Macaca fascicularis: one gene and its partners. The main gene of each other region encodes a partner of the protein of the gene in region 3 in a complex. Links are inferred from orthologs where the notes say so. Each region holds a gene or a part of one and is shown on either strand. Other genes may lie near its edges.

Region 1 (10,159 bases), about 160 Mb from region 3:
AAACAAAATTCAATAAAATGAAAATTTATTTCATTTTCAAATAAAAATGAAATATAAATATGTGTCAAAATAAAAAAAATGAAAAGCTGTTCTGTTTATGTAAGAGCATGTTCGCTAGAATAAGCTAGACATCTTTGTCTGAGTGGTTTAAATAAGAACTGATCAAGAGAATGCCTCCATCAGAAAGGACCTGCAAACATGCATTTTTCTCTTTTGACCTTACTTCATCTTCTTCTTTTGCTGAAATAAACCCTAAAGAACCCATTAAGTAACAAAAGACCTAGAAAAAATTTAAGTAATTCTTAAATGAAATACTAATTCTACACAAAAGGCACATTAATAACCATTTTTAACCATTTAGAACATTTTTGTGCTTTTTATAAACTTTCTTGGCTTATATTCCATACATGTTAGATGATTGTAGAATAGAGTTGTGTTAATCTTACTTATTTGGATGGAAATCTACAAACCATACAATTTGGACATAATATTTTATTAGTAATCAAAACAGCTAAATCTAAATGAATTAAGTAATATTTTAAAAGGGTGATGGTCAGGTGTGTTTAGAAATAGTTCTTTTTTCTCTTTGAGGGAATTCTGCAATGTCTGGTAGATGGAGAGGAGGGGATGGGGAGACGTCTGTGAAGATTGAGGCAGATGCTGGGAACGGGGGCTGGGGTGGTCAGGGAGCAAGTAAGTGCACAACACAGTGAACTGGGACAAACACTTTTGGTCCAGGCAAGAGATTATCCCGAGGAAACCAGCCCAAAGAAATCTACTTTTGACAGGGCATCCAGTAGAGAATGACTTGGGTGCATCACCTGAGGTCGGGAGTTTGAGACCACCCTGGCTAACATGGCAAAACCGCATCTCTCCTAAAAATACAAAAAATAGCCAGGCGTGGTGGTGGGTGCCGATAATCCCAGTTACTTGGGAGGCTGAGGCTGGAGAATCGCTTGAACCCGCGAGGTGGAGCTTGCAGTGAGCCGAGATCGCGCCACTGCACTCCAGCCTGGGCAACAGAGTGAGGGTCTGTCTCAAAAAAAAAAAAAAAAAAAGAGACAGAATGACTTAGGTAAACCCAGGAACAGGGAACTGCTGCGGGTGCCTGAAAAGTAATTATGTTGTGGAAAGACAGAAGATAGCAGAACCCTAAGCACAGGCTGGAAATGTGGGCCAGAATGCCAAATCTGACAAGGGTGAAACTGTATCTCAGATCTAGAGGAACTCAGATACTGTTATGTTACCAAAGCATCAAGCTGCTGTTTAACCACAACGGTTTCAGAGACTGAGGCATCAGTAAGCTTCCAGAAATCAAGTGACTTAGGTGCAGAGCCGGAGAACTGATGGGAGGAGGGGAATAGGCACATCTGCACACATAGTATAATACCATTGTTTTGATGATTTGACATTAAATTCAGCATACATTAGTGACAGGAGACTCAAGGAGCAAGACGATTTCCAAAATAATTGATCAAAGAAAATAAAGGTTTTTATTGGTGAATAAAATGGAAATGGTTAATATTGTGTCAGGCACATGTTTGTATGTGTGGAACCAACCCAAATGCCCATCAATCAGTGAATGGATAAAGAATCTGTGGTGTATATATATGATGGAATACTACTCAGCTATACAAAGGAATGAATTAACGGCATTCATAGCGACGTGGGTAATATTGGAGACTATTATTCTAAGTGAAGTAACACAGGAATGGAAAAGTAAACATCTTATGTTCTCACTCATAAGTGGGAGCTAAGCTATGATGATGCAAAGACATAATGACACAGTGGACTTTGCGGACTCAGGGGGAAAGGGTGGGAAGGGGGTGAGGGATAAAAGAATACAAATTGGGTACAGTATATACTACTCAAGTGATGGGTGCACCAAAATTTCACAAATCACCACTAAAGAACCTACTCATGTAACTAAACACCACCTGTTCCCCCATAACCTATGGAAATAAAAAATTAACAACAACAATAAAAAAAACAACAACAAAAATGAACTCTAAATTAGGAAATGTCAAACAGGAAAAGATACGTTTTGTTTTCTCTATCATTCACAAGAACCGTCTGCCATCTTCACATATTTGAATAATCTAGAAGTTTTTGGAAGAATGGGAAAATATACTGATAAGAGGAGGAGGAGTCTTTCATAAAGAACTGTCTGAGATATCTCCCTTTGGACCAAGACATGCTTAGTTTAATAAGAAGTTTTAGGCACTAAACTTATTTTTTCTTATGTTTTTCAGTAAAGGAAGAACAAAAACTAGTCCAAACCAGTCCACACTGTGGATTTCAAAGAGCAGCAGAAAAGAAAGTGGCATGGAAGTATAGTAACTCATTGACTTGGTTCCAGAATTTTGTAATTCTGAATCTGTATAAGGAATGGCATCAGAACATTAGCTTGGAATGGCTTGAAATCACACAGGATCTGCAAGATGAACTGTAAGCTCCCCCTTGAGGCAAATATTAAAGTAATTTTTATATGTTTATTATTTCATTTACAAAATACGCTGTGCTAACAATGGAGTGAGACCTGCTTATTTTGCTAAAGGATGCACCGAAACTTCAAGCAAATGAAATGGACAATGCAGATAAAGTTATCAACACATCAGGAGTATGTGTGTTAGAAGCAATTCTTTGTATTTCTTTCACCTTTCATAAGCTGTAATCTAATCAATGTAATGTATATTGTATTGAAATTTACAGTGTGCAAAAGTATTTTACCTTTGCATAAGTGTTTGATAAAAATTAACTGTTCTAATATTTATTTTTATGGCATCTCATTTTTCAATACATGCTGTTTTGATTAAAGAAACATTACTGTTGTCAACTGAATTCACACACAGACACACAAATGTAGTGCTATAGAAAAAGTTTGTTTTCTAGAAATAACTCATCTTTCAGTTTCTCTGCTTTTGGTCAATGTCTAGGAAACCTCTTCAGAAATAAGAAGCTATTTCAGTAAGTGTGATATAAACCTCCTCAAACATTTTACTTAGAGGCAAGGATTGTCTAATTTCAATTGTGCAAGACATGTGCCTTATGATTATTTTTAGTTTAAAATTCAACAGATTTTTTAATAATGTAACTTTGTTAATAGGTGCATAAACAGTAATGCAGTCAATCTGAACAAAAGTAGTGGCATACACAATATAAATCATATGTCTTCACACGTTGCCTATATAATGAGAAGCAGCTCTCTGAGGGTTCTGAAATCAATGTGGTCCCTCTCTTGCCCACTAAACAAAGATGGTTGTTTGGGGTTTGGGATTGACACTGGAGACAGATATTTGCAAAGTTTGTCTATGGTTTCCCTAGCTGTATTTAGCCTCTAACTATATTAGTATACAAAGAGGTCTTGTGGTTGAGACCAGGTGAATAGTCACTATGAGTGTGGAGATAAGCACAGCACACAGACATTTCAGGAATGAAAGGAACTACGAAATGGTGTGAAAATGGGTTGGAACCCATCAGTGATCGCATATTCATTGATGAGGGTTTGCTTGAGAGAGAAAATGGTGGCTCCTTTCTGTGTTATCTCCTAGTTTCTTCAATGCTTATGCCTTGTTCTTCTCAAGAGAGTGTTGTAACTGTCTGGTCTTCATATGTCCCTGTGCTCCTTTTAACAAAATAAAGAGTTCTTGTTTCTGAAGAATGATCACTAGTCCTGTCTAAACCTCTTATGTGAAAAAATGTACAGATATGTTTGCATCGATATATAAAGTTGGAAACAAATTACTCTTTAAGTGTGGTAATAATGGAAGGCGTGGTTATGTCTAATATTTTCCCTGTTAATTATTTTCAGTTAAATAATAAAGTATTTTCCTTAACACATTTCACAACTAGCACTTGTTGGCAAAGCTAGGAGGCAAAAGAGAAATCAATGGGCATTGCCCATTTTCAGCTGCTGAGAGACTGAGAGAACGAGCAGCTGCATTTGAAGCTGAGATTGGCCAACATGCAGCATTCTTCTTTCTTCTCTTGGCTACCTATCTTTCTGGGTAGAACTGGAGACCAGCTGCTGGGACCTAACCTTTTCCCTCCAAACTACTATCATGTATTTCTCCCTCTAGTGTGGACATAGTGGAGGAAAACTGGATGTTCCCCCTTGTCTTTGCCACCATGGACTGTAACAGCTGCAAGGCAAAAGCAGTAAATCGGTGGGGAAATGCCTTGCTTTTGCCTTTGATCTTTATCTAGGTCTGAGTAACTCTTCTGGTATCAACAACTAAACCTATAAGCTACTGGAGGTGGAAAATGGACTTCTATTTTATTAGAAAATGGTAGTAATCCTACCTTAACAGTTTCCTAAAATTTTAGCTAACCTTTGGAAAATGAAAAGAAATACATGGTGTATCTGTTGCATTAGCATTTTTAGAATATGTTTTTGCTGTATGTTTTGAAATGCATATGAGATATGGAACAATCTTCTAGTACTAAAAACAAATACCCTGCTGGTCAGTCTATCTTTCCCAACTGTTAGAATCAGACCATTGGAAAGGTGTTAAAAAGAATCGTGTGTTCAGTGGTGATATGATCTGGCAGTTTCCCCACCCACATCTCACCTTGAATTGTAATAATCCTCATGTGTCAAGGGTGGGGCCAGGTGGAGATGATTTAATCATGGGGGCAGTTTCCCCCACACTGTTCTCATGGTAGTGAATAAGGTTCGAGAGATCTGTTGGTTTTATACTTGGAAGTTCTCCTGCATATGCTCTCTTGCCTGTCTCCATGTAAGATGTGCCTTTGCCCCTCCTTTGCCTTCCACCATGATTGTGAGGCTCTCCAGCTATGTGGAACTGTGAGTTCATTAAATATCTTTCCTTTACAAATTACCCAGTTTTGGGTATGTCTTTATTAGCAGCATGAAAATGGATTAAAACAAGTGGCTCCTGATTTTGGTCCAAAGAATGAATTCTACAATTTCTTAACAGGAATTTGCAGTCATCCATCATTTGGCCACACCTTCTTCATATAACATTTTTTTCCTTTTATCTGACTGTTTCCCAGAGAGAGAGTCTTTTAGTATGACAACACATGGTTCTCTACTGACCCCTCTCCCTTAACTGACTCCCACCTGCCCAGTGGATCCCCAATATCCTCTTCAATGCCTCTGTAATAATTATTCTTTCCAGGTGTAATTCAAGTCTCCTTTCTTCCATAAGGCCAAGTCATACAGATTGGTCCCTTCTTTCAACTCCTTTTAACCTTACTCTCTCTTTATTAAATTGTCCCATGCAAGAATGTGTGTGTGTGTGTGTGTGGGTATGTGTGTATGTGTTTTGTATTAACTATGATTTTTTTCTCCCCAAATACATCAAAAGATTCTGTGTGGTGAGCTAAGTTGAAGTCTGAACTTATTCTGGAAATGATCCAAGAGATTAAATAAGTGAAGCAAATTCATTTATTCCACATATTTGACCTTCTCATGGGCGATTCAGTTGTGTCTAAATAAGTTTTTCACATATTAGAAATATCCACTGTAACACACATAAACAAAGACCAGGATTTGTAATAGGTGCATTTCTTTGGTATGTCTGATTATTTTTTTGAGACTTAAAAATACTAGCATGAAATAGACAGTATACATAATCCAGGTAAAATTCATCTAATAAACAATGACCGTATCAGTTAATTTATATTTTATTTCATTAACTTATTTAAGAGGAATGTAAAATCAATTTAGTCCAGGCCTGTGACATAAGCTCACAGTAAATAGTTTCTATTAGTGGGGAAAATACTAAGGTTATGCATATGTTGAAATAAGAATGAATTTTGATAGAAAAGACAGAGAAACGATTGAGATTCTGCTAACAGCAAGCTAAACTGGAACTAGAAAATTTACGGCAGTTTATTTCCAACAGTGACGCACTTTGGGTAAAACAATTTATTTTCTTTCTTTTTAAAATTCTGCTCAAATTTCTTAAGTGTATGGTATATGCTTTAAAATAACATCCCTTTAAATAACAGTAAATAATGAAAATAATCATTAAGAATTTAAAAAATGAGATCTGCGAAGAAATACCTGTTCACAATGAAATAAAAAATGTATTTAATGGTATTTTAAAGTTACTCTGTATTGCTAATTTTATTATATTTAAAATTTTGTTTCCCTGGCCCCGTAGCATTTCATTGGCATAGGTAAGAATAAAAACTTTGGGTAACTCATTAAAATTTTTGTACTAAACAATTTCCATGCTTTCTAGAGTAGAATGGGAAAATAATCTGACTTTCATGTTTGGTTTAAGAAATGTGCTAATGTAGAAAACTTTGTATCCATTCGGTAAACCTTGGGACCCTGGCATACACTCCCGGGCGATTAGGCAGGGCACACTTGTATCCAAATGAAGTCACACCAGCAAGGAACCACCTGTTGTTTTCTTGGCACATTAACGGTCCTCCTGAATCCCCCTAAAGAGTGAATTGCAAAACAAAATTGTAGCTATGTCATCAATTGATCGAAACATATAAAATTATTTGTATCAAATAAATTAAAAAATACGATTTAATTGCAAGTCATCTGTATATATTCTCACTTTCACTCTAAGTCAGGAATGAGAACCTCAGTAAGGAGACAGAGACACTGTAACAACTAAGACATAATTTATAATTTTTACGGTGCAGCTTTTTAGTAAAAGTTTCACCACTTTAATTAGGCATTTTGGTGGATACTAAGAATTTCTTTAAAGCATAACTATGACAAGCATCCCAAACAAAATATTTATTAAAATCCAATCATTTTATTTAAGGAGATCTGCTGTAAGTGTCACAAAGGACATTGCGGAAAAGACAAATTATTTCACAATATACTCTTCGGAAAAATTAGGAACTCACAAAGTAGATTTTAGTGCTCTTGGGTAACATTATCTTTTTGGGGCTCAACAAACACCATCCGATTTGAAAAACATTTCAACTGAAATAAGGAAGTCTGTAAAAAACACTTCAACTGAAATAAGGAAGTCCGTGATATAATTTTCAGTGATAGTTACTCATGTTTTCATCTGAGATTTCAAACTAAGAAATGTTTTTAATTTTTATGAATATTAATTACAGCAGATCCTAGTACATTACATAGATTTTATTGCCTATGATTCCTGTGTAACGCAGTGATAATACAAACATATAATATCACTATTTAATGACATGAAATTGACAAGTATGTTTCCTGTATTAATTGGGCAAATCTTTTTAATGAATGCTTTTTATATTTATGAAGACATTTAAAGTTGTATGTGTTTTGAAATCATTGGTGTAACAGAATATTTCAATCCCAGCTGGATGCTAGAAATTATCCTAAGAGGCTTTTTATCTGATCCTTTATCATCTTTGGGCCCTGTATTTGAAGAAAAAACTGTAGTCACCTTTTTTCCCCCTCCATACACAGGAACATAAATTGCACTGGCGACCATAGGTTACCAACATTCTAGTGTAACAAATGTGTTCAAGCTGTTTGAAAGCAGGGACTGTGATTTCTAGTTCTGCCTCCCAAGCCCTTAATCTGTAATATAGGTTCTGAAATATTTATGGAACAGTATATATCCAAGGATCAAAATACATTTTATGTGACTTGGAAATTATTAAAAATCAACTTCAGCTGTTTGGATATTTTTAAAAGGAGTCGTTTGTTTTTTCACATATCTTCTAAAATAATTTAATTTTTTGATAGACAAGAGGATCCAGACAGAACCGGGGTTTTAACTTACCCAGAACATACTGGGCCAGTTGCAGTTACTCAAGGATCCTACGGCAGACTTGTTGCCTATTGGTTGGGCGGTTTATCTGGTTCAGAGGCCTCAGTCTGTTTCCATTCCTTCCTGTCATCTAACTATACCACATCAGTTTAGTTATGTAACTTCTCCTCAACTTAATTTTCTTTTCTTTTGTTTTTAAAAATTTTACTTTAAGTTCTGGGATACATGTCCAGAACATGCAGGTTTGTTACATGGGTGTACATGTGCCATGGTGGTTTGCTGAACCTATTGACCCGCCCTCTAAGTTCCTTTCCCTTGCCCCCCAGTCCCCAACAGGCCCTGGTGTGTGTTGTTCCCTGTCCTGTGTCCATGTGTTCTCATTATTCAACTCCTACTCATGAGTGAGAACATGCGGTGTTTGGTTTTCTGTTCCCGTGTTAGTGTGCTGAGAATGATGGCTTCCAGCTTCATCCATGTCCCTGCAAATGACATGATCTCATTCCCTTTTATGACTGCATAGTATCCCATGGTGTACATGTGCCACATTTTCTTTATTCAGTCTATCATTGATGTGCATTTGGGTTGGTTCCAAGTCTTTGCTACTGTAAATAGTGCTGCAGTAAACATACATGTGCATATGTCTTTACAGTACAATGATTTATATTCCCTTGGGTATATACACAGTAATGGGATTGCTGGGTCAAATGGTATTTCTGGTTCTAGATCCTTGAGGAATCGCCACACTGTCTTCCACAATGGTTGAACTAATTTACACTCCCACCAACAGTGTAAAAGTGTTCCTAGTTCTTCACAACCTTGCCAACATCTATTGTTTCTTGACTTTTTAACAATAGCCATTCTGACTGGCATGAGATGGTATCTCATCGTACTTTTGATTTGCATTTCTCTAATGATCAGTAATGTTGAGTTTTTTTTTTCCATATGTTTGTTGCCTTACCTTAATTTTCTGATTTGTTCAGTGAAGGTATTAATATTTCATTATTGCACTGTCTCGGAGATATAATGAGTACTTCAAAAATATGCATGGGGCCGGGCACAGTGGCTCACACCTGTGATCTCAGCACTTTGGGAGGCCGAGACAGGTGGATCACCTGAGGTCAGGAGTTCAAGATCAGCCTGGCCAACATGGTGAAACTCAGTCTATACTAAAAATACAAAAAATTAGCTAGGTGTGGTGATGGGTGCCTGTAATCCCAGGTACTCGGGAGGCTGAGGCAGGCGGAGGTTGCAGTGAGCAGAGATCGTGCCACTGCACTCCAGCCTGGGCAATAAGAGCAAAACTCTGACTCAAAAATAAATACATAAATATATAAATATTTTTTAAAATATGCATTAGTTTACAGAACATAAAGTATTAACCTTAAGTTTATGTTTCTAGTGAGATGCTATATTCATAAGTAAAAATAAAAATGAGTACCTTCTTTGAGTGTCTGAGTGCAAGGTGACCATCTTTGTTCAGAACAATACTTCTCATACTTTAGTGTGCATCAGAATCTCCTGGGAGATGTGACAAACACACATAGCTGGCCCCACTCTCATAGTTTCTGATTCAGCAGATATGTGATGGGACCCGAGAATTTGTATTTCTAGCAGATTCTCAGGTGGTGCTGCTGGACTGGAGGCCACACATTGAAAGCCATTAGTATAGAATATGGCTTGGAATGGCAGGTAGAGTGTCCTTCACTGAATTTTATGTGGAGAAGATATTCTCCAGCCATTGATGTTGCCTTTAAATCCAAACTACTACCACTAAAAGGCAAGCCTTTGGTAAGTCAGAAGATACGTCTGGTGTGGATGACTAGTAAGGCACATTCTTTGCCATCGTATGGCTAAAAAATGATGCTTCGAAGAACTTATTCAAATAATGTATTTGAACAGTAATAACGTGTTCACAGTTTTAAAGAATGCATTTTTGTTTAATCAATTAATCCTGTTATAAAACATAGTATTAAAGTTGAACAAAGAAAATCATGTGACAATCGAGCATATTAATTACTCAATTATGATAACATTTTATTATACAAGGTATTACCTTATGTAGGACATTTCTTACTTGCCAATGGATAACATGCTTAGACTGTGTAGAATCCGAGCTAACTATAAGATTTCAGAGACCTGGCATGAGTTAATGACTTAATGTAACCTTAAAATCAATAGCATCAGCTGTCATATTTTCTGCCTAGTGCATGAGGTGTCTGCCACACAATCCCCATTAGCTGTAATTGAAGTTGTCCAGCTGATTTCCCTCCTGCACAAGAATTCTATAGATCTCCTTCTAAGTGGCAATATATCTTACCCTTAGCACACTTTTCATTTTAAAAAAGACGTATAAGACCTGGAGACAAATTTTAAACAAGAAAAAACCATCCTATTTGTCTTGAATTTGCAAGCATTTATCAAAGCAGAATAAATGTCAAATGAAGCTGGAAATTTAACACACC
Region 2 (9,086 bases), on a different chromosome or scaffold from region 3:
AAGATTAAGCTCGTGGACACATAGAAGGGTGAGAAAAATGGAATTTATTGGGCAATAAAGGAAAAAGAGAAAAACTTTCAAACTTTCAGTAGAGCGAGAAGGAAGCCTGTTATCTGGCTTCTGCCCCACCACACAGGAACTCAAGAGGTCGGACTCCTCGCCTCTGCAAAGGGCACGAACTTCTGTGGCTCCGTGTCATTCTCCCAGTTCAGGCTGGTTGGAGGTTCACCAGGGAGCCCTTTTTACTTGGCTGTCTCAATAGTGAATGAGTTCTCCTGAGATCTGATTGTTTTAAAGTGTGTAGCACCTCCCCTCTCTGTTGCTCTTGTTTGGCCTATGTGACCTGACTGCTCCCCCTTCACCTTCCACCATGATTGTAGGCCTCCGCAGAAGCTCAGCAGATGCCTGCATCATCACGCTTCCTGTATAGCCTGTGGAACCATGAGCCCAATAAACCTCTTTTCTTTATAAACTATCCAGTCTCAGGTATCTCTCTTTTTTTTTTTTTTTTTTTTTTTTTTTCGAGACAGAGTTTCACTTTTGTTGCCAGGGCAGGAGTGCAATGGTATGATCTCTGCCCATTGCAGTCTCTACATCCTGAGTTCAAGCGATTCTCCTGTCTCAGCCTCAAAGACAGGAGAATTACAGGTGTAATCCCTACTGGGATTACAGGTGCTCACCACCAATCCTGGGTAATTTTGGTATTTTTAGTAACGATGGGGTTTCACCATGTTGGCGAGGCTAGTTTCGAACTCCTGACCTCAGGTGATCCACCCGCCTTGGCCTCCCAAAGTGCTGGGATTACAGACGTGAGCCACCATGCCAGGCCACAGGTATTTCTTTAGAGCGATGGGAGAATGGCCTAATAAACTACCATACACGAACATAGCAATCCACATGCTTTCTGATGGGTCAGAGAGAAAACAGAACATTAGAGACAGACAGTTTGGGTTAATGGGTTACTTCTGCTTATAATCTCCAAGGCTTGTCTCTCCAGACTTGTAAACTGGTTCAATTGGGCATGAAAATTTGTAGCATTCAACTATTTAAATTCTGTTTATTATGGCAAAGGTCCTTAATATTAGGGCTGTCCTTCGAGTGTCCTCTATCTAGCATCACAGACAAGATGCTGGAAGCCATCTTGCATCCGTAACTGTTGTTAGCCTGATATTTAATGAGAGCTGTTAGACAGGGGTTTGACTGAGGCACTTGGCAGACTACAGCATCCTCTAGTGGCCAGATTTAAACTTCAAGACGTGTATATTCTGAATATCACAAAAAATTAACCTAAACCTTACAGTGTCCGGCAACTGTGTTTGGCAAGTGTGAAATAGCTTTTGACTGGTTATTTCTGATTCAATAGGTGATCTATTTCCTGCTGTATATTAGAAAACCTGCATCTTGGGCTCTGTTAGCCCTCTACCTAGTTTTCCATTCTAGGCTAGTTCCTCATGACTTTGGGAATTCAAGTTGCTTTTTCATCTTCCCCCTCCCCGTCCTTCTCCTCCTCCTCCTTTCCTCCTCATCCTCCTCCTCTTTTTTTGTTCCTCCTCCTCTTCCTCCTCCTTCTTCTTTTAGTAGCTGTACATACTTTTATTTTTCTTTGGGGGCACTTCTTTAGTTTATTTGCTTCCCTGAATATAAACACATAGACCTTTTTAATAGGAAGTTGTTATCTAAAGTTTCTATAGAAAAAGTAGGCAATGAATAACTCACGTGAGGTGATTGTGGCTTCATGGAAGAAGCACTGGACTTGAATTCCGTCCTGTATTATAATAAAAGCCTAAACCCGCCACTTTGTTTGCTGGCAATATTAGGCAGGTGATTTCACTTAGTTCTAAGTTTACTCATAAGATAAGGATAATCTTACAGGGTTGTTTTGGCTTACACATAAACCAAAGTGCACTGCACAAAGGTCTCTTGATCAGTTCATCTGGTCTATAGTCACTTTTTTCCTTGTCAGATTATCTTTTGGGAATGGTTTGATAGTAGAAGAGACCATTCCCAAAGTTAATCCAGAATCAGGCCTCCCCACCCACCTGCCTCAGGTTAGCACAGCACAAACCCATCAGGCCCTGTGAAGCGGATCTCCCAGGGAAGCACAAGAGGAAGTCCTCCATCCAAGCCCTGGGTTATCAGGCACAACCACAGGCTCTACCTTACCACTAGTCACCTTAGTAACTAATGAGGAACTGGCCCTGCTGGCGAAGAACTAAGGCTACGTCCACAAGCTGCTCCATAGCCTTGTTAAGAAAATGTACTTTTTTTCTGTTTACTCAGTGATTCAAATCTTTTTGAGACAATTATGTTTGACCCAAACTCTACATTCTGAGATAAGTGGAAAATCTCAAAGACTAAACTCTATTACACCAGACAGGCAGCTCTGTGCCCATGCATGTAGACCTGTGCCAGGCTCAATAGACACTCGATCAAATCCCAAGGAAACCTAAAGGAGTTACTTCAGTCAGCAAACTGTGATGGGTAACATGTTTCTGCACTGGGTATTTTCCAGTTGTTCCTTAAAATAGTAGTCCAGTCCTCTGCAGAATTACTTGCATTCATGATCATCCGTGCTCTGCCATTTAATATCTGCAATCACATTTTCTCAGGCAGTGACCTCAGGATGTAAGAAAGATGAGGAAAGAAAAGGAATTGTGAGGGAAAAACCCTGTGTGAAATTACAGGATTCCTGGTGTTTTTAAAACTTGGTCTATTCTGAGTCTTGCCAAAGTCCCCTGACCCTGGTATAATCAAACATACCTTTGAGGAAAAAGCAAATGGGAACAACAGGGAGTATTCAGATGCATTTATTCAACTATCAGGCCAGCCAGGCCTCACAGTGACCTGATGGGATTTCAAAACCTTGGTTCTCAGCAAGGCCCAGATTTTCGAATGAGGACAGAAGTCTGGCGCTTCCTGCAGTAGAAATTAAAAAAAAAAAAATCAGCTTATACTTTATTGACAAAAAAGTGACTATGGGAGAAAAACGGGGGAAAATAACTTCATTTAAAGTAGAGGGGTTTGAGATTTAGAATCTTTTCTCTTTCATTCATTTATACATTCACTTACTCATGAATTCATCAAATATTTATTGATTACTGTTGTATACTCTAAGGATACAACAGAAAGGAAAAACATCTGTCCTTACAGTTTTTACAGACCTAGTGGAGTGTTACAGTGAACCCCTGAAATTAAACTCAAATCCATCATTGCATCTTTTGCTCCTGATGCCTCTGCCTTCGCCACCAGGTTTCCATCTGAGCTGCTGCCTGAGCTATCGCTGGACCTTCTAATTGACTGACCTTTCATCTTAGAGCTCTAGGGATTCATTTCTGTGAGGTCTCGCAAAACTAAATCATATATTTATTCCACATGATTCCTGCCAGTTCTAAACATCCTCCCCTCCAGATAAAACCTCTCTGTTCGCCCCACACTGCCATTACCAAACCAGTTTTCTCTTCTCTAAGCTAAATATCTCTAAATGTTGTAATTGTTCCCTAGAAGACTGTTTCCAGGTCTTTAATTTTTCTAACCATTTTTTTCTTTGAATATACTGGCTTACAAAAATTCTTCTACTTCTCTATTACTGGAGGACATCTGACTTCCATATACTTTTTTTTTCTTTTCTTTCTTTCTTTCTTTCTTTTTTTTTTTTTTTAGACAGAGTCTCACTCTGTTGCCCAGGCTGGAGTATAGCGGTGTGATCTTGGGTCACTGCAGCCTCCGGTTCCCGGGTTCAAGTGATTCTCCTGCCTCAGCCTCCTGAGTAGCTGGGATTACAGGTGCATGTCACCACGCCCGGCTAATTTTTGTATTTTTAGTAGAGACGGGGTTTTACCATGTTGGCCAAGCTGGTCTCAAACTCCTAACATCAAGTGATCCGCCTGCCTGGGCCTTCCAAAGTGCTGGGATTACAGGCATGAGCCACCATGTTCAGTGAAACTCTTTAAGACTTTTTAATGCTTTCTTGTCCCACAATCATTAAGTACTCATTAATACTGATTTCCAAATCAGTTAGCATACATAAGCACACATACCTAAACAGAATAAACAAGAGTTGCTATGCTGTTCACTCTAGTTTCATATATTCACTGTCAACATACAGCTATGTAAATTTAAATTAATTTAGATAATATTAAATATTAAATATTAATAATATTAAATATTCAGTTTATCAGTTATGCTAGCCACACTTAAGTTAGTGTTAGCCACATTAAGGCTACTGTTTTGTGGCTAGTGGCTATGTATTAGACAGCATAAACATAGAACATTTCCATCATTATAGAAGGTTCTATTGGAAATGCAGATTTATGGAAAAGAATTTGCCAGTACAGATTTCCTGTGAAGACATAGAAGGAATATAAAAAGTGTTTTTTGAATTTATTTGTCAAGCATATAATGACCAAGAAGACTGATTTGCAAGCCCTTGTTTGGTATTATCTACTTGTCTCAAACTAGGATCAGCATCTGGCTTTAGTTGCTAGGTAATAAGTTGGGGACTTTTAATCAACAGTGTAAAGGGCAATGTCATACATTAGGAAATATGTTGTATTTGAAAAGCAACATTTTGTCTCTAGACCTAAATTTTCTTATCTGAGAAATATAGGAAGAGAGGTCATGTTTTCTAGCATAGAAATGTGCCTCCCGTATTTACATATTTTTGAACAAACAGAAAGAGTAAACAGAAACTTGTAGGTTTCAGAGACTAAGCAGACAGGGTGTCCCAGCCCTCTACTAATATTTTTCTAACGTTTCACTGTAAATGTTGAGTGGCACTTGGAAATTTCCCAAGTCTCAAAGCTGTTGTTCTCTTGCTTTCTCCTCCCATTGGATGGAAAGTTGATGTTTGACCTTAATGTCAAGAATGTGGGTCATGAGAAAACTAACAGGTGGCTTCAAATTCCTTTTACAAGTCTTAGTTATGGAAACGGATTCATTACAAAGTAGAATACCTAAGGTTTTGGGTCTAAAACTTCAAGATATTAGACCTCTCATCCTGGGGACCTATTTCCACGATACTTGCTAAACTCTGAGAATTTTCCACAATGGTTTAAACCAGCCCAAGAAGAAGGTTTGCATTACAGGCAAGGAAAGTTATGCAGTAGAATATAATAGAAATTTACACAGTCATTTGAGCCTGAGTCAAAGTCTTTAATATCAAGTCAATCTCAGAAAAACTAAAGTCACTCGTGGAATCCCCTTTTATTTGTTTTGTTCATTCCACACCTTTATTTAACCTGGCATGCTCTTTTGATATTGCCAAAATTCAGAGCTCTATTTAAATGGCATTCTATTCTTTTTTTTTTTTCCTTTTTTTTTTTTTTTTTTTTTTTAATGGAGTCTCACTCTTGTCACCCAGGCTGGAGTGCAGTGGCACAATCTCAGCTCACTGCAACCTCCGCCTCCCAGGTTCAAGCGATTCTCCTGCCTCAGCCTCCTGAGTAGCTGGGGTTACAGGTGCCCACCACCACGGGGTTTCACCATGTTGGCCAGGCTGGTCTCAAATTCCTGACCTCAGGTGATCTACCTGCCTTGGCCTCCCGAAGTGCTGGGATTACAGGAGTGAGCCACGGCACCGGCCGGCATTCTATTCTTTTCATGGATCCTTTCTTGGCCCCTTTTAATAACAAAAAATATGTATCCCTGCTTCACTCCTGTTGCACTTTATTTACACCTCATCTTCTGGCATTTGCCCAAAATTATAAGAAGCCATCCTATATGTGCTCATGACGTTTTCTTAGTCATAAGCACCAGTAAGACAAGGAATATTAGCATAATGCTTTACACATGCTAAGGTTTCAGTTGCTGAGTGAGATAGGAAATTTGTGTCGAATCTGTTTCTCTGTATCCCATCTCTTACTCATGGATACTGAGAAAATGAAGCTTTACTGAAACTGGCTTTCATATCCATGAGTAAAAATACATTTTTGGTTATATAATCTATACAATTTATATTTGCATAAATGAGAGCTTTAAAAAACACAATCATTGCAACCACTAATATTTCTTTTTAATTAAAGGTATTTTGTGTGTATAAGATTAATAAAAATCCAATCTATCAACTATTTTGCTGTAAAAATGTAGACTTTTATCATAAAAGTGACTTTTTAAAAATAATATTATAATGCTAAATGTATAAAAAGGAGAATAAGAAAGAGATAACTGTTTTTGGAAAAAGTAAATAGTTTGCTTCTCTCAGGGTGAGATTCATATTATCAGTATATTTGAAGATAACTATCTTAAAATATATAGTTTAAAAGAAACTCAAGTTTGTACTCACTGATTTTCAAAACATAGCACACATTCATTGGGATAAGTTTTTCCATCAGTCCCACAGACAGGGTCATATATCTTGGTGCATCCAGTAAGTTCATTGTAACATTTGGCCTAAAAATGGAATTAAACAGAATCATTTCCCATTATTCTCCATTCTTGAGTTCATAGCAAAATCTCTGAAATGGTTTTAATTTCTCTGGGGCACAACTGTGATTGGGAGAACGATACTGTGTGTTGTAAGAGAAATAACCTAAGATCTCGAGACAGAAAACCTTGTTTTAAGTCATGCCTCTGCTATTTCTAAACTGTGTGACATTAGTAAGTCCTATGGCCCTTCTGAAACTCAGTCAGTTCATCTGCAAAATGGTGATGATATTACCATTTCCCACCTATCTCATAGTGTTGTTGTGAGGTTTGCACGGATGGGTGAGATAATGTTCAAGTTTACAGTTACTGCAGATGCTGGCATCTCTCAGGCTGGCCACATCTTGAGGTATGTTCTTCCTTGTACACTATAGTCCACACACACTGGCCTTCTATTAGGCACTTAAAGGCACTAGCCAACATCCAGTGTTGGAAGTCTTTGCATTCTACTCTAGTAAGAGTTTATAATCATCAAATGATTGGCATTGTCCTAGACACTGTCCTAGTGCTTTTTACATATTATTCTGTTTAAACCGCCTAACTATCCTGTGAACTAAGTATTATATTCTTCTTCAGGTGAAGATAATGAGGCACAAAGCAATAAAATTAGCCAAGGACACCTAGCTAAGGAATTCCTAAATTCAGAATTCAAACCTAGTCAGAGTTCCTGAGCTTTAGCTCTTAACTACTTCATTCTACTACATCTCCCCACCAGTTTTGCTTTGCTAACACTCATTATTATTATTATTATTATTTTTGGCTCAAAATGACCCCTCACTTACTTCGGAGCACCCTCCCTGATCTCTCTAACTAGGCTAAGTTCTTAATGGCAGCATATCTTTTTCATAACACTTATCACAAATGTAATCATGTGTTCATTCATGAACTTTTGGTCTATTAGCTGTCTCTGACTAGATATAAATGTACTGAGAAGAGGGACACTTCTTCCTCTGGTCTCCAAATTTACTGAAATTACCTTTTAAACAAAAAAATATGAAAAGATTAGAGTTAGAATATTTTTCTAGAAGAAGAACCTAGTTTATTGTTTTCTGTTGTTCATTATAAATTAGAGCCACACCTTGGTCATTGGGAAAGCTGCATGCCAACATGGTCAAACTGGCTGTAAGGAGGAAGGGCTACTTGGAGTGAACTTGAGAAGGCTTCCACCCCAAATACTTGTTTACAGCTATCACTAGTTTATATAAAAACCCCTTCACAGCAAGCACTGTAGGACTATATAGAACTTGCTTATACATCAGTGAAATTGTCCTTCAATATATGCCTGTGGGGTGGAACTACTATTACCGTTTGCATTTCACACATTAACCCTCCCTAGCATTCATACTCCTCTTAACTTCAGGCTCAACTGAAAGGTGACAGCAAGGCTGCATTTTTGTTGGATCAAACTGTTCCAGCCTGAGAAATAAGAAATTACAAATATCTCTTTACCTCTCTTCCCAGGGAGTCAGCTCCAGTGTTACCTGGAAATAATCAGATATGGTAAGTTGGGTCCTAAACGAGAGAAGTCAGATCTATTCTTCCTCAGAATTCTCTGCTTTCACTGCAGACCATGACTTCTTTACTAGGCTCTTTCATTCCCTACCCTTTCTGATTTCTATAATCCTCCAAAAGTATCTGACTGATTTTCCTGCACCCCCTCCCTGGCAAAACCTTAAAAAGATTAAGTAAAACTTTGATTATGACCAAAGTATCTCAATTTGATGTTTTAGGAAGTTGATCTATTTCCTTGAAAATAGAAATTATGTACTTACTGCTGGAAATGTATCAGGCACTGAGCAAATTATCTTTTGAATCCTCACAAACATTCTCAAAACCAGTTACTAGATCTTTAATCTCACAATTAGTGAAGTATACTTTCTATCTGTTTACAGATGAAAAGCTGTGAAACAGTTATCACAAGCAGTAACCAGGCCTTCTGATGCAAAATTAGCTTTTTCAATTACACTTAAATTCTCTTTTGTAAGTAATGTTGAAAAAATAGAGCTCTTTTGCCAACTCACTATCAGTTCCCAAAAAGCTATTTCCAACTATTGCATCATATGGACTATGGGTCCAACTCACATTTATTGAATTTACAGGTAGTCAAAATAGCTAATCTCCGTTCCCCGGAAGATAGCATAGGTTTTGCTGACAACATGTAGAAAATGATAACTGTGGATGAGTTCATGGAAGCGAAAGGGATTAATCTGATAGCATCCAAATAAGGAAATATTTGTGAAAATTAATTTTTAATATCATCAATCTTTGAGGTGATCTGGGTAAAGAGGTAGTTCTTTGTATCTAAATGTAATGAAAATTAGCGAGGCATCTAAGAGCTTGGAGAATTTCCCCCAGGATAGTCAGAACTTGATGTTGTTGGGGGCCCACTGGCTTTTAGAATCTAGTTGAATCTAAAAACTGATGAACAGGTGCTCATCACAAGCATCTATTTGTATTAATTAACATGCACGAGGAGGGGGAAAGGGAACACTGACAGCTGCCATAAGTATTCGGCGAATACAACAAACAATATTCTTCCTCTTCTTAGCAAAGTGCTGATTTGGCTCTCCACAGGATCCGTCGCTACATGAGAGGTGAAGTTGAAAATGTTAACTATTTCCAATGATAAAAAGGAAACTGATCTTGGCTCTGAGGGTTCAGAGTTG
Region 3 (10,890 bases):
AGAGCTTGGCTGCAGGGTGGCTATTATTAAAATGTCAAAAAAATGGAAGATGCTGTTGAGGCTGCAGAGGAAAGGGAACGTGTGTACACTGTTGGCCCGAGTGTAAATTAGTTCATGGAAAAAGTAATGCAGAAAGCACTTTGGAGATTTCTGAAATAATTTAAAACAGAACTGTGATTCCACCCAGCATTCCTTTACTGGGCATTTACTCAAAGGAAGATAATTGTTCTGCCAAAAAGAGTTGCTCTTGCATATCCGTAACAGCACTATTCACCGTAGCAAAGCCATGGAATCAACCTAGGTGGCCATCAGCGGTAGACTGGATAAAGGAAATGTGGTACATATACACTGTGGAATACTATGCAGCCATGAAAAGAATGAAATCATGTTATTTGCAGCAACATGGATGGAGGTGGAGACCATAATCCTAAGCAAATTAACATAGGAACAGAAAGCCAAATATCACATTCTCATCTATAAGTGCGAGCTGAGCATTGGGTGTACATGGGTATAAAGATGGGAAGAGTAGACATTGCAACTACTAGAGGGAAGAGAGAAGGAGGGTGGAAAGGGCTGAAAAACTACCTATTGGGTGCTATGCTCACTGCCTGAGTGATGAGATCATTTGTGCCCCAAACCTCAGCATCACACAATATACCCATGTAACAAACCTGCACATGTACCCCCTGAATCTAAAATAAAAGTAGAAATTATTATTTTTTTTAAATGGGTCCTGGGCCAGTAGCAGTAGCTCATGCCTGTAATCCCAACACTTTAGATTACTTGTGGTCAGGACAACAAAACCAACCTGGCCAACATGGTGAAACCTTGTTTCTACCAAGAATACAAAAAAAAAAAAAAAAATTAGCTGGGCATGGTGGCAGGTGCCTGTAATCCTAGGTACTTGGGAGGCTGAATCACTTGAACCCAGGAGGCAGAGGCTGTAGTGAGGAGAGACGATGCCACGGCACTCCAGCCTGGCTGTGGTGATTCAGAAGGAGGTTTTGTGTGAAGGCTGAAATGGGGGCTCTTCAGAGCCTCTGTGGGAAGGAGGGCATAAGCCATGGTGGTGGACAGAGTTGCAGCTTTCTGCTTCTTTGCCCTATTGTCTGGACCCACAGGTGAACAGTAGCAGCCTCGATCCCGACCACACACTCTGGAGACCTTCACATCTCATGGTTCCATGTGAGCAAATGGACTGGGAAAGCTGTGTGGCCTGAGAACATGCAACCACATGGCCTGCCTCTCACTCAGTATTTTGTCTTGGATTTTGAATAAGCATTTTTTTGCTTCTTAGGTGTTTTTGTTGGTAGTGGTAGTGGTTTATTTTACACTGAACACTTGGAAGAAATGCCATGGTTATCTGTGATTTTCATGCCCTGTTTCTGCTGACAACCCTTCTGAGTGGGGTGACTCACTCTCCTGTGTAAAGAGTCTATGTGGCCCAGGTAGGAGGTGGAAGCAGGCGTCTGGAGGCCATTGGTATACTTATGTCTGTCTCTTGGCTTCAGGTAACCAGCTGGGCTTTGATAGGAATGATCTGAATGGAGACAGAAAACAGTGGAAACTAACACTCCCCGCCCAGTCCTGCTTATATGAAGCATTTGGTTCTTCCCTTGACTCTTGAGTGATGATGACATTCAGACGGGATACTGACATTATGGTAAGAAAGGGAAAAAGTGTAAGTTTCTTCTCTATTTGACTACTGTATACATTTCTCCATAAGCCGACAAACTCAAGGCTGTAAGGTGAACTAGGGTCTGCGTTTGGATTCCATAAAAACCAAATCCGTGTTGAACAAAGGGATGTTTTTATGCAGTGACTTTCTGGGTAAACCGTGTGTATCTGTCATTGTGTGTGAGCCCTGAGCCCTGTTTTCCTCTGAAGGTAGTAAGTGGTAGCCGTCTCCTCACATGAATCACATCTGGAGCACAGAGGCCCTCTTAAGGTAATTGATCTGACACATTTACTGTTTACCAAACACTGTCTGATGCATACTTGGGTGTATTCCACAGCATGTGGACTGTGGTCCCCTGTGTTTGCCAGGAATGCTATGCTCCATGTAGAGGTTTTACTCTACTCATCACTGCAGTTTGCACGCTCCTTCACGGACACTTGGAGACCTGTGCTCTGTTCCCTGTAACTGGAAGTGTGCTCTGAACTTGTCTGTCTCCCTTGGCTGTTCTTGGCCCTTGGTACCAGCTCCCTGGGGTGTCCACAAGCACTTGGGACAGAAGGTGAAGGTGGAATTTTAAAGAGAAGTTTGCTTGGATCTTCAGTGACAACCTTGACAAGCTATGGCCCGAATATGGGCCCTCTCAGAATTGTCAGGAGGAGGTTTTGCAGGTGCCACAGGTGCAACGGGCCCTGCCTCCCTCTGCTGCGTCCAGTGGGTGCAAGCCAGCCAATGTGTGGCCAAAGTGGCTGGACAGTGTCACAGCTTTCAGATGTCTTTCCTTCTACCTTTTTAAAAGAGTCCCAAATAACTCACTTGAAGTGTTTCAATGGCAAGCAAGTTTTATGAAAATGAATACTTCCTCAGTTAATTGACCAAATGGGTGAATTCTGACCCTCTCTAGTTTCTTTCCCTGGTCATAGTCATAGTGGGGAGATGGTGTTGGCTGTGGGATTCACTGCAGCGTCCTACCCCAAAGGCAAAGAAGATGAAAATGAAGAGTGCAGAGCTGGGCTTGATTCCCAAGTCACAGTCAGGCTCCCGCTATGGTAGGCGGGACATCTCTCTAGCTGCTCACAGAGATGGAACTAGGGAATTGAGGGAAGAGTTAGGGGCCAGGGAGATTTACTTGAGTCTGATTTTCCAGGTGAATGGGAAGGGGGGCTTTGTCCAGGGTTTGGTGCTGACACATTCTTGGTAGAGGCACGTCATCACCAATGGCATTTGTCGTTGTTGTATGTTAGCAATAAGATTCAGCTGGTCAGATGTTTTGGGCCACCTTGAAGATGCTGACACATTTTCTGTGCTGTGATTGTTCTGAAGGCAGAGTAGCTGTAACCACTGTGAGAAGCCCAAATAAAAATCAATACCCCCTGCCAAAGACCACCGTTCTGAAACACACTTTTCTCTAGAAAACAGTGCCCCCCTTTCTCCCAAGCTTCTTATTTTTGGATTCCATCTCTTTGTACGTGCTAATCTAGTCTACCATGGAACACATTTTGGGAGCCGGGGGCTCTGCCTACCTTTAAGGGGGACTGTCGTGTCTGACCTGAGATTGGAGGATGCTTTCCAGTGTGAAGGAGTGTGAGGGAGCAGGCACAGACACAGTGAGAACAGGGTCATTTTATTGGTATAGAGACTGCAGAGGGACCGGGGGCTTTAGCTGTTTGCAGCTATGGTATTCTTAATCCAGGTCAAATAGTTGTAGACCTTGGTGTAGACTCCAGGCTTGTTCTTCTGGGCACAGCCATCGCCCCAGGAGACAATTCCTTGGAGCTGTCCGTTGGAGACAACAGGGCCACCAGAGTCACCCTGGGGTGAAGAAGGTACAAGTTGTATGGAGAGATAGAGGAGGAATATAGCTATATTTACTCTGAACCTTAAAAGACCCCTTTCCAGCCAGCTCTGTGACTCCACGTCCTTCTCATGGTGGCCCATTCTCTGTTCTTCCTAAGCAGACTGCATGCAGCCCAAGGGAGCCTTCCTCACTTCTCCCTGGGGGCACCACAGGGAGCATCCTTAGCCCCACCACCTTGGGAGTTCAAATCTTTTTCTCGGGTGGGGCCTGGGTATCACTGGGAGCCTCTGCATGGGAAGGGTTGTTCCAATCACCTGGCAGGAATCCTTGCCTCCCTCAAGGAAGCCCGCACAGAACATGTTGCTGGTAATCCTTCCAGGGTAGGAGGCTTCACACTTAGCCTGGGTCAGTACAGGAGCTTCCAGGCACTGCAGCTCATCTGGGTAGTCGGCTGTGAGGATATGGAAGAGAACAAAGAAAGTCAAAATGTGGGTCAGGCTTTAGAAGGAGACAATAATCTAGGATGGAACATTGAAGAGGAACATTGCCTCTGGGGAGGACTCCAAAACATAAGTCCTGGAAAGGGATTCTGGTTTTAGTTCCCAGAATGATCACTGTTGAACCCCTCCAAGATGTGATCATTGCAAGTTCTCCATTTGTCCTGTCTTTTGATTTTAGGAGTCAAGTCCTTGAGACTTTGCATCCTCTGGTGCCCTGTGCAGAGCCTGTGTATTATGGGCACTAGAAATGCATCTTAACCCTGGAGGCGAGAGGATTTAAGTTAAGGGGCATGCTTCATTCTGGAAATTGTGAGGATGGAGGGAAGTAGAAGGACAAAGGGTGCCACTCACCACCAGAGCTCAGAGTGTTGCCCCAGCCAGAGATGAGACACTTGGCGCCAGCAGCTGGAGGGGCGGTGGGCAGAGAGATGGTGGACACACGGGCATTGATGACGGCAGGTGAGGAGAGCTTGATCAGCAGGATGTCATTGTTCAGAGTATTCCTGTTATAATTGGGGTGGCGGATGATCTTGGCTGCATTGATGAACTGCTCAGTTCCCTCCAGGACTTCGATGTTGTGCTCTCCCAGTCTCACCTGGATGCGGCTGATGGACAGGGAAGGCGTGGTGAAGACCTTCTCTCACAGCCGGGGCACCCATCCCACCTTCCCCAGGGTCCTTAAGCTCCCTGCTCGTGGACAACCCTGGAGGGATCAGGTGGGCTGTGTAGCCATATCACATGGGCAGTAGAGGGATGTGGGTCAGTGCAGGTGTGACACCCAGGACCTTTCTGCTTCAGAGGTTGGTGGTAGTGAGGTGGGGAAGAGGCAAAGGGATCCCAACGGAGGCTGCTCCTCAACCAGCCTTCGCAGTCTCTTTCCCACAATCTCCACAGTCACTAGCACTGTGGGCACAAGGAGCTCCTTGTAGTTTTCCCAGCATTCTTCACCCCAAGTCTTTGCTAACTGTGCACAGTGCCTGTTCCTCCCTCCCTTCTTGGCCTGGTGAGCACCACCCTTCTGTGTAATCTAATCCAAGGGTAGCCATAGTATTAGTATCTCCTGGGAACTTGTTAGAAATGTAAATTCTTGGGCCTTACCCCCACCTACTGATCAGAACCTTGGGGATGGGACCCAGTGATTTGTGCCTTAACAAGCCTGCAGGTGTTTCTGGTGCATACTCAGGTTTGAGAGTTCTTTGCCTAGGCAGAGTTTCTCAGCTCTGTCTATGCACTCTACAGTTACCAGAAGTAGACTGTTATATACTCAGATATTCACACCCTCTTTCTGAAAATTTTGAGTTAATTGCCCTGGGATGGGACAGAGGCATTAGTATTTTTGAACTCTTTCTTAGGTGGCTTTATTGTGTAGCTAACCAACAAAAGGTACTTGCCTGCTTTTCTCACTAGCTCTGACCACCCCAAGATCATCCCTGCCTGCTTTTATGACCACAACCCTTGCTGTTTCATGGATTTGCCTGGGTGTGAGAGGTTCCTGTCTTGTGTTCACTCTCTGCTCTGGACAGTCAGCTGCTGCCAACAAGTTTTCTTCTCCACCACCTCTCCCCTCCATCTTACCCAGCCTCAGTATTTCTCTGGGCTGAAGCCATGCTCCACCAGGCAGCCTGGCTTGGAGCTTTGCCGTCAGGGGCCCCACACTTACGTCTTGTAGCAGTGACCTGCTGATACCACCCACTGGTTGTTAATGAGGGAGCCACCGCAGAAGTGGTAGCCAGAATTCAGGGACACCTGGTAGGGGAGAGAATTCTTCCCACAGGTGTAGCCCCCAACGATCTTGTCATCATCGTCAAAGGGGGCAGCAACTGGAGTGGAGACGGAGGGGAGAAGGCAAGTCAGTAGCATGTTAGGGGTGCTGCTCCCAGCCTGCAGTTGCTTCCTTCTAATTAGAAATGGTTCACAAGCACAGTGACGCTAGGCAAGGAAGGGAGCGCAGCCACCCATGGTGAGCATCACTGGATGTGTCTCCCAAGTCTCTGTGTCTCCAGGGCACGTTGCAAGGTACCCAGTGGGGCTCAGACCTCTCCTGGGGTCACTAGGCTGAGGTTGCAAGGAATGTCCTCACAATGCTTTCAGTGGGATAGGAGTTGGGATGTGATTGTCTCACCCACTGAGTGCTTCTCTCTTTTATTCATGAGCTGTGTACTTTTCCTGGCTATTTGAGTCCTGGATTGTCAGGATACTTTGGCCAAGCTAGGAAAACCCCCTGGCTGTGGAGAACTTGCCGTGACCAGCTTCCCCCATAGCTCAGATCTGTGCAGTTAGGGCCGCGTTTAGGGCAGCCCCCAGGTTCACTTCGACAGAACAAGGGTAGATGTTGTTATTGGCCAATAGTATAGCAATTCTTAACCTTGGCTGTATGCCTGGAAATATTAAGAATCACCTGGGATGCTTAAAAGCCCAGAACACAAGCTGCCCCCCCGACAAATGAAGTTAGAATGTCTAGAGCTGAGTCTCTGGCATGAGTAATTTTTCAACCTCCCCACGTGCATTCGAGGTTAAGAGCGACTCTAGTGGTGCTATTGTGGTGCTGTAGGAGCTGAGTCTGAAGCCTGCTGCTTCATTTCTTGGGCCAGCCCCACCTGACCTCCTTTCCTAGCTTTTCCAACCACAGCTCGGATATAGATGTACAACAGTGGTGGGAGTGAAATCAGGGAGAAGTTGAAACAGGAGAGCCTTAAAGAGAGCCCATACAGGATGGGAACTAGAGATGCCATATGGAGGAAATAGAATATCAGAGCACAGTCAAAAGGGGATAGGTAGCAAGAATGGAAGGGCATGTGTCTGCCAGGAGATGGTGTGCGTGGAGCCTAAGGCAGGGCATGATACTCACCAGCAGCTCCCACAAAGGTAAGGATCAGGAGTGGATTCATGGCAGTAGAAAGTGCCTGACTGGTGGTGGAGGACCCATCTTTATACCTCCCGAGGATTGGGAGAGGAGGTGTCTGTGAGGTGAAGGTCACCACTCCTCTCAGCACAAACACACCTGCAGCTTCCCAGGGTCTTGCATCAGCTCGGCTATGTTTGGCCACTCTGTGGGTTTGTGATTTAAAAGTGATAAGGAAACTTGCCTTCTGAGAGGAGAGAGGGTGATTGGCTGTTTCCTACAAGGATGGTGAGATGGGGAAGACAGGGAAAACCAAGCCCCGGATCACACAGCTGGGCTTTCTTAGGCCCAGGAGATGAGGCTTAGAAGGAGGGAAAATGGCCTCGCTATTTAGGAATCCTTTTATCTATTGGGGATGTATTTAATGTTCTTAAGGAAGGACAAGCGTTGGTAACAACCTTGGCTTTTCAGTGTCCTGGAGCCCCCAAGAGAGGAGCAAAGTCTTATCTAAGGCTCATTCCTGTGAAAATGAAGATGCTTCTCTCCAGTCAGTGTGCAGGAAGGTCAAATCCAAGACTTTGGGAACAAGAATTCCAACACTAAGGGATAAGGGGAAGGGAGACTCACATTTCATAGGATTCTGGGCTTCCAGATGGCTCTCCTTCCTACCAAGGCTTAAGGATGGGAAGTGTTGCAAAGAAGGAGGGGCACAGGTTAGTTAGGTTGCTCAGTGCATCTGGAGGATGGAAAACCGATAGCACACTCCTCCCGTTCTTCAATGTGAAGACATTTGTCTGTCTCATGTGCATCGTGTCATAAGTTCTTTTCATGCAGCCTCACGGTTGCCCTGGCAAGCTGCACTCAGGGCGATGCAAACTGACCCACCTGGTCAGGGCTGTCAGCCTGAACCACAATGGCATGCTAGAGTTTCGACCATGATCAATCTGGGTTATGATCTGATCTGAGAATCAGCAGTAGGTAGAGATTACATGGTAAATGGGTCACATATTGGGTTCAAAAAAGAAGATGTGGAGGGACGGATCTAGAATTTTCTATCTTAGATGCTGTGAGATTATGCTGGGCTCAGTACAAAGTGAATCTTCCCAGACAATATCCTGATTTGGACCCTAGCAAGGTTGCTAAGACACAGTTGTGTAATTGACTGAGGCACAACTTGGCCAGAGCAGTGTGGAGATGGAGATGCTGTCTCCGCTCAAGTCTAACGATGTAAGAAAAGAAGAAGCTTCCTTATGAGAGTGCTTTCCCTTCTTAGCAACTCAGAGCTCGGGTTGGTGATGGGCAGGAGTGAGCAGGGTTCAAGTTTGAATTCTTTGAAAGGTAAAAGAAGGAGAGATGTCCTGGAGACGGTGAACAAAATGAGCAAAGCTCAGAAACTTGGTGGTGAAATTGGACATGGCCAGGGGGATAGAGGGAGGAAGCAAATGGAAACAAGAGGGAATTGGAAAAAATGCCAAAGTGGGACCCATGGAGTTGAGAGGACACACAGAGTACCTTTGAGTTCAGCTCCTGCCATGGCCACCGAGCCAACTTCTCCACAGTCAGGAGACCCACTGCTCGGAGACCCTCTCTCCACCTCGTACGTCCTCTAATCATGGATGGGCTCATACCTAACACTGCTATATTTAGATGGTGCATGGTGCCTGACAGCTTTAGAAGAGTTTTCACGTAAGCAACCGTGGTACATTGTTTTCGTTTTGGTGACTTTCACAGTTTAACTTCCCACAGACATACTAATTGTGATTTTTGCAGAGCAAAAGTGTTTCCATTTATAGAGGAAGACAATGAGATTCAGAATGATTCTGTCTTGCTAAGAATACAGATCTTGGCAGAGCTGACCATAAGATCAACAAGCCGTGGAGAGCATTGTGAAGTGTGGGAATTGCTGCAGGTGGCATCTAAAAGGAGATTTATTGAGGATCAAGGCACAGGTCCCCAGAGGACAAACCGTACATCTGATTCCTTCCTGGTGCTTTTCTTCCTGGCAGAAATAGATGATTGAATTCATCTTTCTCCTGGCACCTTGTCTCAGAGCCTTACCTTGCCACAGTTCCAGAGCCATCCAGGCCATGACTGCCATGTAGATGACACACCTCTCTGCTCATGAATAACTGGCCAAGCCTGAGGTAACCAGGTTTTGGAGCATTGATAATATGGACTTTTCCTGTGTTGTCCCTAAGCATGTTGTTTCATTTTGTCCCCTTGTCATGGGATCTTCACAGAACTCCTGCCTTAGCGGATAAGGAGAGATTCTTGCTCTAGCAAGTGTAGACACGATACCAGTGTGCACTAAACAGGGAGGTGAACCTTGGTAGAAGATGGAAAATGTGTTTGGAAAAGGGGATTTTTGGATCAGGTGCTTGTGCTCTGACTCTCTGTCTGAAAGGGAACACCCAAGAATATGAGGATTTCTGTATCTAGAGCTTGAAGACTAGCCTTCTCCAGAATTTTGCGCTCTTCCTTAAATGATCACAGTATATGGTCAGCTTTCTTCAAAAAGGAATGACCTTACAGTCAGAGAAGACAGCTATAGGTGGAGACTGTTACCCCGTACTATAGACTCAGATATGTAGGATAGGCTCAGATCCAGCTGCCCAAGCACAATTTGGAGGACATGTCATTCTGGATCCTGTTCATTCTGAACTATAGATTTCTTTGTCTACTTCTCTAATACATCTTTCTGGCTTGTGGTTAGTGCTTAGCACAGCAAACCACTGACCTTCAATTATAACAGTGAATCATATCAGTGTGCTTACTATATACCATGTAACTTACTATACAGCAGGTAACTCATATAAGTTAAGAATATTTTTTCATTTTATCATCACAATCACCTTGGGATTTTACATTTTAGAGATGATGAAATGATCATTTTACAGATGATCAAATGAGCTTTCTGGAGGTGCAGTGATTCTTCCATCTCCCAGAGCAGCAGCTCCCAGTCAGAGCCGGCCGTGCCTGAACTCAATACCTTGGCAAAGCAACCAGAGCCAGAAAGAACCATGGGAGAAGATTTCAATGACTTTCAGCAACTTTGTCCCCCTTTTTTTCTCGTTTCCTCTCCTGCATTTTTCTCCATCTCCAGGTACAGTTCTGGATGTGGATGCCTGTACCAACCCAAAAACACTTGAGATTCATTCCTAATACCACAATTAATCTCGATATTCATCCCCCTACCTTTAAAATCAGATCTCACCTACCTGCTTGGGTCAGAGAGATGTGTTTTAAAATCCCCAAGGAAGGAGGCAGGGACTGTGCCCTCAGATGATTATTCGTGAAGTGGATTTATGCTTAATTTCAGTTTAAGAGAATGTTGCTGTGTCTCTGCCCAGGACAGGCAGCCCATTGTGGTCCTGGGTGAGGAGGGAAGCCCACAGAGACCCAGGGTTTGTGACCTGTGGCTGCCAGTGTCTGCAGAGCCAGAATTGAGCTAATCCCTTGAAAGAATGAGTGCTGATGGGCAGGTGTATGGTCGGTTGCTATGGGGCTTGTTGATCTGTCAAATTCCAGGTGACAAGATCAACGCATGCTTGATGGGCCCCTTCCCAGCAGGCTCTGGTGGCTGCAACCTGGTTCAGGTGTGGAAGGTCATACTACTTTGCCTTTGGTTTTTCTTTGAAAAACAAACAATGAAAGACAGATGAAAACGAGAATTCTACCAGTGGGCAGGCAGGAATTCTCTTCTGGAAAAGGGATATTTGTAGCTCCTCCCCATGTTGGCCTTGAAAGAGCTTGGTTTTGGCGTGGCTATTATTAAAATGTCAAAAAAATAGAAGACGCTGGTGAGGCTGCAGAGGAAAGGGAACACTTATACACTGTTGGCCAGAGTGTAAATCAGTTCATGGAAAAATTAATGCAGAAAGCAGTTTGGAGTTTTCTGAAATAATTTAAAACAGAACCAGCATTCCACCCAGCAATTCCTTTAGTGGGCTTTTATCCAAAGGAAAATAATTTTTTTCTGCCAAAAAGACACATGGTCTTGCATATCCGTCACAGCACTATTCACAATACAAAGCCATGGAATCGATCTAGGTGGCCATCAGCAATAGAATGGATA

What was found.
Region 1: the proteins of serine protease 1 (region 3) and TMPRSS15 are in contact, whole or in part, in a cryo-EM structure (PDB 8ZIV), measured with the Homo sapiens proteins. The link is inferred for Macaca fascicularis from reciprocal best matches to the Homo sapiens genes PRSS1 and TMPRSS15. Residues at the interface, in NP_002760.1 of Homo sapiens: Phe18, Asp19, Asp20, Asp22, Lys23, Ile24, Val25, Tyr45, His46, Phe47, Cys48, His63, Cys64, Tyr65, Lys66, Arg68, Ala91, Lys92, Arg95, His96, Arg101, Lys102, Leu104, Asn146, Tyr175, Phe188, Leu189, Glu190, Gly191, Gly192; in NP_001414986.1 of Homo sapiens: Tyr276, Thr277, Ile279, Trp297, Glu298, Leu316, Glu318, Asp320, Glu321, Ile369, Gln370, Ser372, Phe374, Pro376, Phe377, Ala389, Gly399, Pro400, Gly401, Gly402, Arg403, Glu405, Glu432, Asn433, Lys485, Ile486, Leu487, Val513, Pro514, Thr515.
Region 2: the proteins of serine protease 1 (region 3) and SPINK1 are in contact, whole or in part, in a crystal structure (PDB 7QE9), measured with the Homo sapiens proteins. The link is inferred for Macaca fascicularis from reciprocal best matches to the Homo sapiens genes PRSS1 and SPINK1. Residues at the interface, in NP_002760.1 of Homo sapiens: Tyr45, His46, Phe47, Cys48, His63, Cys64, Lys66, Arg101, Lys102, Thr103, Leu104, Tyr154, Tyr175, Lys178, Asp194, Ser195, Cys196, Gln197, Gly198, Asp199, Val214, Ser215, Trp216, Gly217, Asp218, Gly219, Gly227; in NP_001341895.1 of Homo sapiens: Tyr33, Glu35, Leu36, Asn37, Gly38, Cys39, Thr40, Lys41, Ile42, Tyr43, Asp44, Pro45, Pro55, Asn56, Val59, Phe62.

What each region holds. Positions count from the first base shown.
Region 1 is NC_088377.1:28,967,213-28,977,371, reverse strand, and holds the end of TMPRSS15 (enteropeptidase), read right to left. Parts: intron 6,418-10,159; coding exon 6,262-6,417; 3' UTR 3,835-6,261; downstream 1-3,834. Other genes in the region: CHODL (chondrolectin), read left to right, coding at 2,253-2,337. UniProt on the Homo sapiens protein: Responsible for initiating activation of pancreatic proteolytic proenzymes (trypsin, chymotrypsin and carboxypeptidase A).
Region 2 is NC_088380.1:154,606,896-154,615,981, forward strand, and holds the end of SPINK1 (serine protease inhibitor Kazal-type 1), read right to left. Parts: intron 7,902-9,086; coding exon 7,870-7,901; intron 6,388-7,869; coding exon 6,281-6,387; intron 2,917-6,280; coding exon 2,871-2,916; 3' UTR 2,792-2,870; downstream 1-2,791. UniProt on the Homo sapiens protein: Serine protease inhibitor which exhibits anti-trypsin activity. In the pancreas, protects against trypsin-catalyzed premature activation of zymogens.
Region 3 is NC_088377.1:184,586,613-184,597,502, reverse strand, and holds serine protease 1, read right to left. Parts: upstream 6,862-10,890; coding exon 6,822-6,861; intron 5,794-6,821; coding exon 5,634-5,793; intron 4,579-5,633; coding exon 4,325-4,578; intron 3,925-4,324; coding exon 3,788-3,924; intron 3,488-3,787; coding exon 3,335-3,487; 3' UTR 3,294-3,334; downstream 1-3,293. UniProt on the Homo sapiens protein: Has activity against the synthetic substrates Boc-Phe-Ser-Arg-Mec, Boc-Leu-Thr-Arg-Mec, Boc-Gln-Ala-Arg-Mec and Boc-Val-Pro-Arg-Mec. The single-chain form is more active than the two-chain form against all of these substrates.